Sus scrofa: one gene and its partner. The protein of the gene in region 2 purifies or fractionates together with the protein of the main gene of each other region. This does not show direct contact. Links are inferred from orthologs where the notes say so. Each region holds a gene or a part of one and is shown on either strand. Other genes may lie near its edges.

Region 1 (3,803 bases), on a different chromosome or scaffold from region 2:
GGCAGGCTTTGTCATCCCGGCCTGCAGGACCGCCTGGCGCACTCCAACCAAGCCTGGAAGCGGGAGCCTGGCTGTTCAGAGACGGGGGCAGCCCAGCACAGCCCTCACTCGGCTCTGAAAGGCTGTGCCACTAGTGTAGGCGGGCCCGCTCAGAACATTCTAGAACAGAGCCCTCAACAAGCCCTTCTTAGAGTCTGTGGGGTTGGGTGAGGTGCAAAGGCGCTGGAGCTAAGAGGCACAATCATGCGGATTCTGGCGACCAGAGCAGGGAGGGGACGAGAACGGAGCGTTTGGCCACAACAGGGCCCTGAAACGTGGTGAGCGGCCCAGGCACAAAGGACAATTCAGGGCCTCAGAAGCACCCCCAGCCTCTGACTCCCCCACCCCCACTTCGAAATGACAGTGGGTCCATTGAGCTCAGTGGAAGAAAGGCACATTCTTGCCATTCTTCCAATCTGCTTAATTGAGTAGAAGGCTGTCGGTGGACGTTGCACCGTGCTGGTTCCCAGCCACTTCACTGTTTGCGTGCAGGCGTTTTGGAGACACAATACTTCCCAGGAGAGTGGCTGTGATGTTCCCCCCCGAGCTGAGACTGCGGCACAGAGCGGCCGCGTGGGCTGCACGCCGACTCGTCTTGCCCCTTGAGGCCACACCACCCGCTTCTCAGCGCTGCACCCACCGCCAGAGCCCCTGGGGCACCTCCTTTCTGAGCACCCTGGCCAGCGTTTGCCAGCCTCCCCGCCAGTCCCACGCCAGCCTCTGGGAGGGATAAGCCTGAGGGCGGCCCTGCTGTGGCCTCGAGGGAGGGCAGGGGCTCCCGTGAGCAGGGCCAGCACATTCTCACAGACCCCATGCATTCTGCTGGAGTGAGTGCTGGCTGCCCCCAGAGGGACCACCCCTCCAGCGGCTGGCCGGCCTCCCTCTGGGCCGCCTATCCCCTTTGCATTCTGGTAAAAAGTGACATATGACCTAGCTGCTCAAAAACGTTAATGATTTCTCATTTTTGCTGATCTGGACGTGAGACACTGGGCTAAGCCCACCAACAACAGGTCCAATCCTTGGGTGCTTGTCTTCCCGATGTGGACACAGGCTGGGGCATCAATGCGTTAGAGAAACGCCTCTCCCTCCCCCATCCCCCCATCCCTGCCACTGGGGGCCCGTGACGCCGTCTTGTTATAACCTACAGGCAACACTGGCCAGACCTCGGCTGGTGGAAGCCGCCAGAAGGTACACCCCACCCAATGGAACAACCATGACCCACTCCATTGTCAGAACCGAGCCTTTACAGTAAAAACTTATAGCCTCCCCACCCCCTCCCACCCCCACCCCAGGGCAGGTCATGAAGCGCAGGCATCGCAGGAACCCCTCGGGTCTGGGTGGGGGGGGGCGGCCCCAACATGCCCACCCTGTTCCCGCCTCCGGGTGGCCCAGCCCTCGTCCCACCGGCACACCTTGCTCTCTGGAGATATCCGCCTTGTACCAGAACTTGGATGTGTCTTGGACGAAGTTCACGGACACGTGCTTGTCACCTGAATGATCTACAAAACAGAATTTAAAACCAGGAACCATGAAGGGCGTTTCTTACTGCAACCTGTCACCTCGAGGGGCCTAGAAGTGCAAAGGCCCCCTGCTTAAAGGGAGAAGCACTCTCGGTAACCACGGGGCACAGGGCGTGGCTGCTTTACAACGCAAAACACGAAGACAGCAGGACACTCCAACAACCCGTAGCCGGAGACGGCGGGCACGCGAGCAGAGCTGATGTGGTTTTACTCCTGTCACTGTCTCTTATTCCCTCTGCACTGGAAACATCGCATAATTGAATTCCAAATGTATTCTTTTTTCTTTTTTTTTTTTTTTTAGGGCCACACCTGCGGCATATGGAGGTTCCCGGGCTAGGGGTCCAATTGGAGGTATAGCCACCAGCCTACACCACAGCCACAGCAACGCCGGATCTGAGCTGTGTCTGCGACCTACCCCACAGCTCACGGCAGTGCCCGATGCTTAACCTACTGAGCAAGGCCAGAGATCGAACCTGGGTCCTCATGGATGCTAGTGAGATTCATTTCCGCTGAGCCACGATGGGAACACCTCGAATATATTCTTTCAATTTGTTTAAGGTGACTTTCAGACAACACTGATCCCAAGTGAAAGGGGAAAACCACCACTCAGATGTCTGCGTTTTCTGCTGCAGACTGTACACAGGAGCCCAGGGTGAATTAAGCAGCGGCTCTGGATTGGTACTTTGCTCTGGGCTAGAAGAGCAGAGATGCTCTGAGATGGAAAGGACCCCTTGAAAGCTCCGGATTCTTCTTTCAAGGTGCTCAGCCCAGCACTGGCGCTTGAGCTCACGGGGCAGCCGGGCCGGAAGGCCAGGGCCCTCCCTCCCGGGTGCAGGAGGAGAGCCTCCCGCGGCGGAGACGCACCTACCTGGGGACGGTGCTGCTGCCTCTGCAGCCTTGGAAAAGTCCGGGAGGACGTTGGGGAAAGGGATGCTCATGGTGCTCCCGCTGTGAGGGCTGGAGAAGCCGCTGGAGGACGGGGAGACGGAGCCGAAGGAACGGTCTCCCTCCGAGGCCCGCTTCTTCTCGGGAAGGGGCGGCTGCCCGGGCAGGGTCATCCCCGGGCCCTGCAGGACCGGGCTGTGGTGGCCGCTGTGTCCAGGCGCCACCGTGAGAAAGTTGTGGGACAGGAAGCCATTGTCGGTGGCCTCAGCTGCTGTCCGCGGGGGGCCGGGGGCGGGGGACGCCCCGTGGGAATTGGCCAGCAAGGCCCCAGAATCCTCCCTGGGGGCGAGGCCACCTCCCGAGGGGGCCGTGCTGAAGCTCAGGAAGGCCTGGCTGCTCGGGGGGCCCAGGGCTTCGGGCGGCTCCACCAGGGACAGCTCGTGGCCGTGGAAGGACGTCTGGAGCTCGGCAGGTGGGAAGGGGGGCCGCCCGGGGCCGTCCTTGCCAGGCCCGGAGAACTCGCTGGCGCCGAGGAGGCTCCCTGCAGGCCGGCTGCCCCCCAGCAGGGCCAGCGTGGACTTGGGGCTGCTCTCCACCCACTGGTGCTCGGCCGAGGAAGGGCTGTTCAAAAGACAAACCACCAGAGAAGAAGTCCAGGGGGCTGCCTGGGAATGAGCCAGGTTCCCACAGGGCGAAGAAGGGGACCCGGAGGCTGGTGCTGGGGCTCCCCTGGAGCGTGGCCTGTACCCCCAAGATCAGAATCCAAGCCCTGCCACCCTCCCACTTGACTTTTCACCCCCAGACGCTCAGGCACAGCCTCGGGGACCAGCCCGACCCACCTGCACAGCCTGCTGTGCCTCTGCCCTCCTCGCACTTCACCTGGCCAAGTGGCCTCTTCTCCCCAGGATGAGGCTCGGCTGCGTCCCTCTGAAGCCCTCCCAGCCCAGAGCCACGTGTGCCCAGGGACCAGCGGTGTCCCGCCCTCTCGTGCCTCCACGTGCACATCAACCATACGTCTACTGAAACTGCCTCCCCTTCTTCCTCTTCCCTCGATGCCCAACTCAGTGCCTGACAGTTTTCAGCAAGGGCTTGCTGGTACAACCCGCTGATTGCGGATGCCAGTGAGAAGCTATGAAATTGGAAATTCCACCATTAAGAATATTGGAAATTACGTCATATTTAGAAATATAGGAAGCCAGCTAACACATATATTCCACGAGCAAACACGTATCTGCCTGTGGGTGATGCCGAGCCCTGATGAGAGATGTCCCGCTTTTTTTGTAAAGAGAAAGGAGGGGGAATTAAGGCTGGCAACTGTAAAGCAATGTGCCCACACGTGAAACACTCAGTGATGACTCC
Region 2 (3,803 bases):
GGCCTTCCTGTGACACGGGGACGCCAGATCTTCTGAGAAGATGTCGGCAATACAGGTACTGCAGGGATGGGGGGCTAGGCAGTTGCGTGTCCCCACCACCACCACGGGGGGGTGCTGAGAGGAGAGAGAGTGAGGGTTCAGGTCAGTTCCCTCCCCTTTTCCCCAGTCCTGGCTTTCAACACAATAGATTTCCAGGGCACACTGGTCGTGCAGGGTCCTAAAGATGTGAGCACAGGTCTGGGGCAGTGGAGAGATCTCAGCTGGAAGATGCCCGGAGCTCTCCGGGGGAAGGGCACCTCACCCAGGCTCCTGCAGGCCAGCCAAGAGGCTGTGATCTCGAGGGTGTGCGGGCAGGTGGGCCGGGGTTGCCCTGGGCTGCACTGCCCACCTGTCACCTGCCTTGCAGGCCGCCTGGCCATCCGGTACAGAATGCATTGCCAAGTACAACTTTCACGGCACTGCTGAGCAGGACCTTCCTTTCTGCAAAGGAGACGTGCTCACCATTGTGGCCGTCACCAAGGTAATCAGTGACCTCAGCTCCCCAAACTCCACGCCCACCTCTGGGTCCCAGCTGCCCTGCAGGGAAGGGTGGGTGAGCCTGAGAGCGTGTCTGGGCTCCTCCCCACCCAGGACCCCAACTGGTACAAAGCCAAGAACAAGGTGGGCCGTGAGGGCATCATCCCAGCCAACTACGTCCAAAAGCGGGAGGGCGTGAAGGCAGGCACCAAACTCAGCCTCATGCCGTGAGTACCTCCGAGGAGCGATGGTTGGGGGCCCCCAGGCTGGGGAGGAAAGAGGACCAGGAGCCCTGGTTTCCCCAGAAGAGAGTCAGGAGAACAGGGAGGTGAGAGCAAGGGGCTGGGATTCCGTGAGGGCTTCCGGCAACGAGGGGAAGGGCGTGGGTGCTGGACCTGGAAGGGGAGGATGGAGCCAGGAGGACTGAAGAAAGAAAGTCAGAGACAGAGGGTGAGGGCCCCAGGGCCTGACACCTGCAGAAGCGTGTGAAGAACCCGGAGGGAGAGGGCCTCCAGGAAGTGGAGCCTGGCAGATGCATGAGGAGGCTGGTGGGGGCACCGGGGACAGTGCCCGCGGGCCACCACGACCCCAGGCCTGGCCTTCCCATAGCTGGTTCCATGGCAAGATCACAAGGGAGCAGGCAGAGCGGCTCCTGTGCCCACCAGAGACAGGCCTGTTCCTGGTGCGGGAGAGCACCAACTACCCCGGGGACTACACGCTGTGCGTGAGCTGCGACGGCAAGGTGGAGCACTACCGCATCATGTACCACGCCAGCAAGCTCAGCATCGACGAGGAGGTGTACTTTGAGAACCTCATGCAGCTGGTGGAGGTGAGCAGACACAAGGGCTGGCCCAGGTTCCAGCTCCAGTCCCACTGCTTCTGACTGGTGGCCTGGGGCACGTCATGCAGCCTCTGTGAGCAACACCCTGATAGAGCACCTGCTGTGTTCCAGGGTTGATCTCTGACCCCACCACAGGGAGGTGGCACCCTGGTTCATAGGTCAGGAAACAAAGGTTCAGAGCAGTTAAAGAACCCACCTCTGGTCACATGGTTGTAAACTAGAGGTGCTGGGACTAGAATCTGAGTTTTCTGACCCCAGAATGAGCTTCCATCCAGTTCCTCATAGACTATATGCCAAGTGTGTGTGTGTAAGCACATACTCATGACCTTCACCTTGAAGGGCCACATGTCCCTGAATCTTCCAAGGCCATCTGTGCCCCAGGCAGCCTTCACATGCCTCCTGCACTCACTGGGCGCCTTCGCCTTTTCTCTGCTGGCCTGGCTTGACCTGCGACAGGGGGCACCTGGGCCCACTAGAGCCTGATATCTAGAGTGAGCCAGGGCTTGTCCTCTGCCTCAGGATACTGGTGAGGCCCCAGAGTGGTAGCAACAACCCCAGTATCCATTCAGCACCTCGGTGTGTGGTGACATGGGCCAGGTGTCTGGGGCCTCCCTCACCCCTGCTGGAAACGCAAAGCCCTCCAAACCCAAAGCAACTGCAGGGCTGGGTGGAACTGGCCTCTGCTTCCCCCTGGTGGTCAGACCAGGACAGGGCATGGCAGCCATTGGAGTTGCACAGGGGACCCTGAGCGCCTGCCCTGCCCTCTGCAGCACTACACCTCAGATGCAGATGGACTCTGTACCCGCCTCATCAAGCCAAAACTCATGGAGGGCACCGTGGCGGCCCAGGATGAGTTCTTTCGCAGTGAGTGCCACCCCTCCCCGAGACCTCACTGGCCCACCCACCCGCCTCCCACCCAGGCTTCCTGGCACTACTTCCATCCCAGAGGCTCTGGAGGCCTCCAGGGAACCCCTCACCCCACCCCGACCCGTCCTCCACTTTATGTCCAGTCTGCCTCTGCTGTGACCCCTTCTCTGGCTTCACCACCCCTCAACTGACCACCCCCTCCCCCCAGGTGGCTGGGCACTGAACATGAAGGACCTGAAGCTGCTGCAGACCATTGGGAAGGGGGAATTTGGAGGTGAGCCAGAAAGGGTGGGAGCCCTGAGAGGTGCCAGGGACTGTGCGGAATCCAGGGCCAACCCTTAACTCTCTTCTCCAGACGTGATGCTTGGCGACTACCGAGGGAACAAAGTCGCCGTCAAGTGCATTAAGAATGACGCCACTGCCCAGGCCTTCCTGGCTGAAGCCTCAGTTATGACGTGAGTTGGACTGGGGGTGAAGGGGTAGGGAGGTCGCCCCGGGGGCCAGGAGGTGATGGGGAGGCTCGGCAGGCTCTGACCACCCCATGTTGCCCCAGGCAACTTCGGCATAGCAACCTGGTACAGCTTCTGGGCGTGATCGTAGAGGAGAAAGGCGGGCTCTACATCGTCACAGAGTACATGGCCAAGGTGGGTGCCTTCCCTGGGACCCAGCCCCCATCCTGGAGCTGAACACGGGCTCGAGCTTTCCAGCTGCCCCAAGCCCCTCCCCCCACACACACACCCTTGGGCCCCTGCTCCTTCTCTCCAGCCGAGCTTTGAAGTCACCCAGGCTCAACTTGGCTCATCATTTTTTCACTATGACCTTAGACCAAGCCTCAGGTCCTCACCTGTGAACAGAGGCACTAGCAAAGTTTACCTCAGAGATTTATGAGAATTAAGAAATAATGCATGAAAATTGCTGAGCACAGCGTCTGCTATTCCTTCAGAAGTGATGTCCTGACCCTTCCCCTGTCCACCTCCTCTTCACACTGCCCACTGAGTGTCACCGGTTACCCAGCCCCAGGCCTACTGTTCCCAAGGTCTGGCGGGCAGGTTTGACTTATAGGGCCTGTTGGTCTGTCTGTCCACCCCAGGGGAGCCTGGTGGACTATCTGCGATCCCGGGGTCGGTCGGTGCTAGGCGGAGACTGCCTCCTCAAGTTCTCGCTGTGAGTGAAGCAGCCCCTGGGGGCGGGGCGGGGCGGGGCGGGGGTGGGGGAGCAGCCCTGCTCTGGAACCCCTGTCTGAGGGGACCTGTGGCTGGCTCTCTCCTAGAGATGTCTGCGAGGCTATGGAATACCTGGAAGGCAACAACTTCGTGCACCGGGACCTGGCTGCCCGCAACGTGCTGGTATCTGAGGACAACGTGGCCAAGGTCAGCGACTTTGGCCTCACCAAGGAGGCCTCGAGCACCCAGGACACGGGCAAGCTGCCGGTCAAGTGGACAGCCCCCGAGGCCCTGAGAGAGAAGGTGGGTGGCCTCCCCCAGGGCCTGAGCAGTGGGGGGTGGGGTTCCTGGGTCCCTCCCACCCCCAATTCCCGGGATCTGACACTGCTTCTCCCATCCACGTGGCAGAAATTCTC

Evidence for each region.
Region 1: the proteins of CSK (region 2) and TNS3 purify together in Homo sapiens (affinity purification with mass spectrometry; 4 studies listed by BioGRID and IntAct, with this or other methods). This does not show direct contact. The link is inferred for Sus scrofa from reciprocal best matches to the Homo sapiens genes CSK and TNS3.

Annotation. Positions count from the first base shown.
Region 1 is NC_010460.4:49,164,599-49,168,401, reverse strand, and holds part of TNS3 (tensin-3), read right to left. Parts: intron 3,066-3,803; coding exon 2,428-3,065; intron 1,539-2,427; coding exon 1,452-1,538; intron 1-1,451. UniProt on the Homo sapiens protein: May act as a protein phosphatase and/or a lipid phosphatase. Involved in the dissociation of the integrin-tensin-actin complex. EGF activates TNS4 and down-regulates TNS3 which results in capping the tail of ITGB1.
Region 2 is NC_010449.5:58,737,740-58,741,542, reverse strand, and holds part of CSK (c-src tyrosine kinase), read left to right. Parts: 5' UTR 1-40; coding exon 41-55; intron 56-406; coding exon 407-520; intron 521-630; coding exon 631-743; intron 744-1,125; coding exon 1,126-1,345; intron 1,346-2,127; coding exon 2,128-2,221; intron 2,222-2,432; coding exon 2,433-2,498; intron 2,499-2,579; coding exon 2,580-2,679; intron 2,680-2,777; coding exon 2,778-2,868; intron 2,869-3,314; coding exon 3,315-3,388; intron 3,389-3,494; coding exon 3,495-3,690; coding exon of another isoform or gene 3,691-3,795; coding exon 3,796-3,803. UniProt on the Homo sapiens protein: Non-receptor tyrosine-protein kinase that plays an important role in the regulation of cell growth, differentiation, migration and immune response.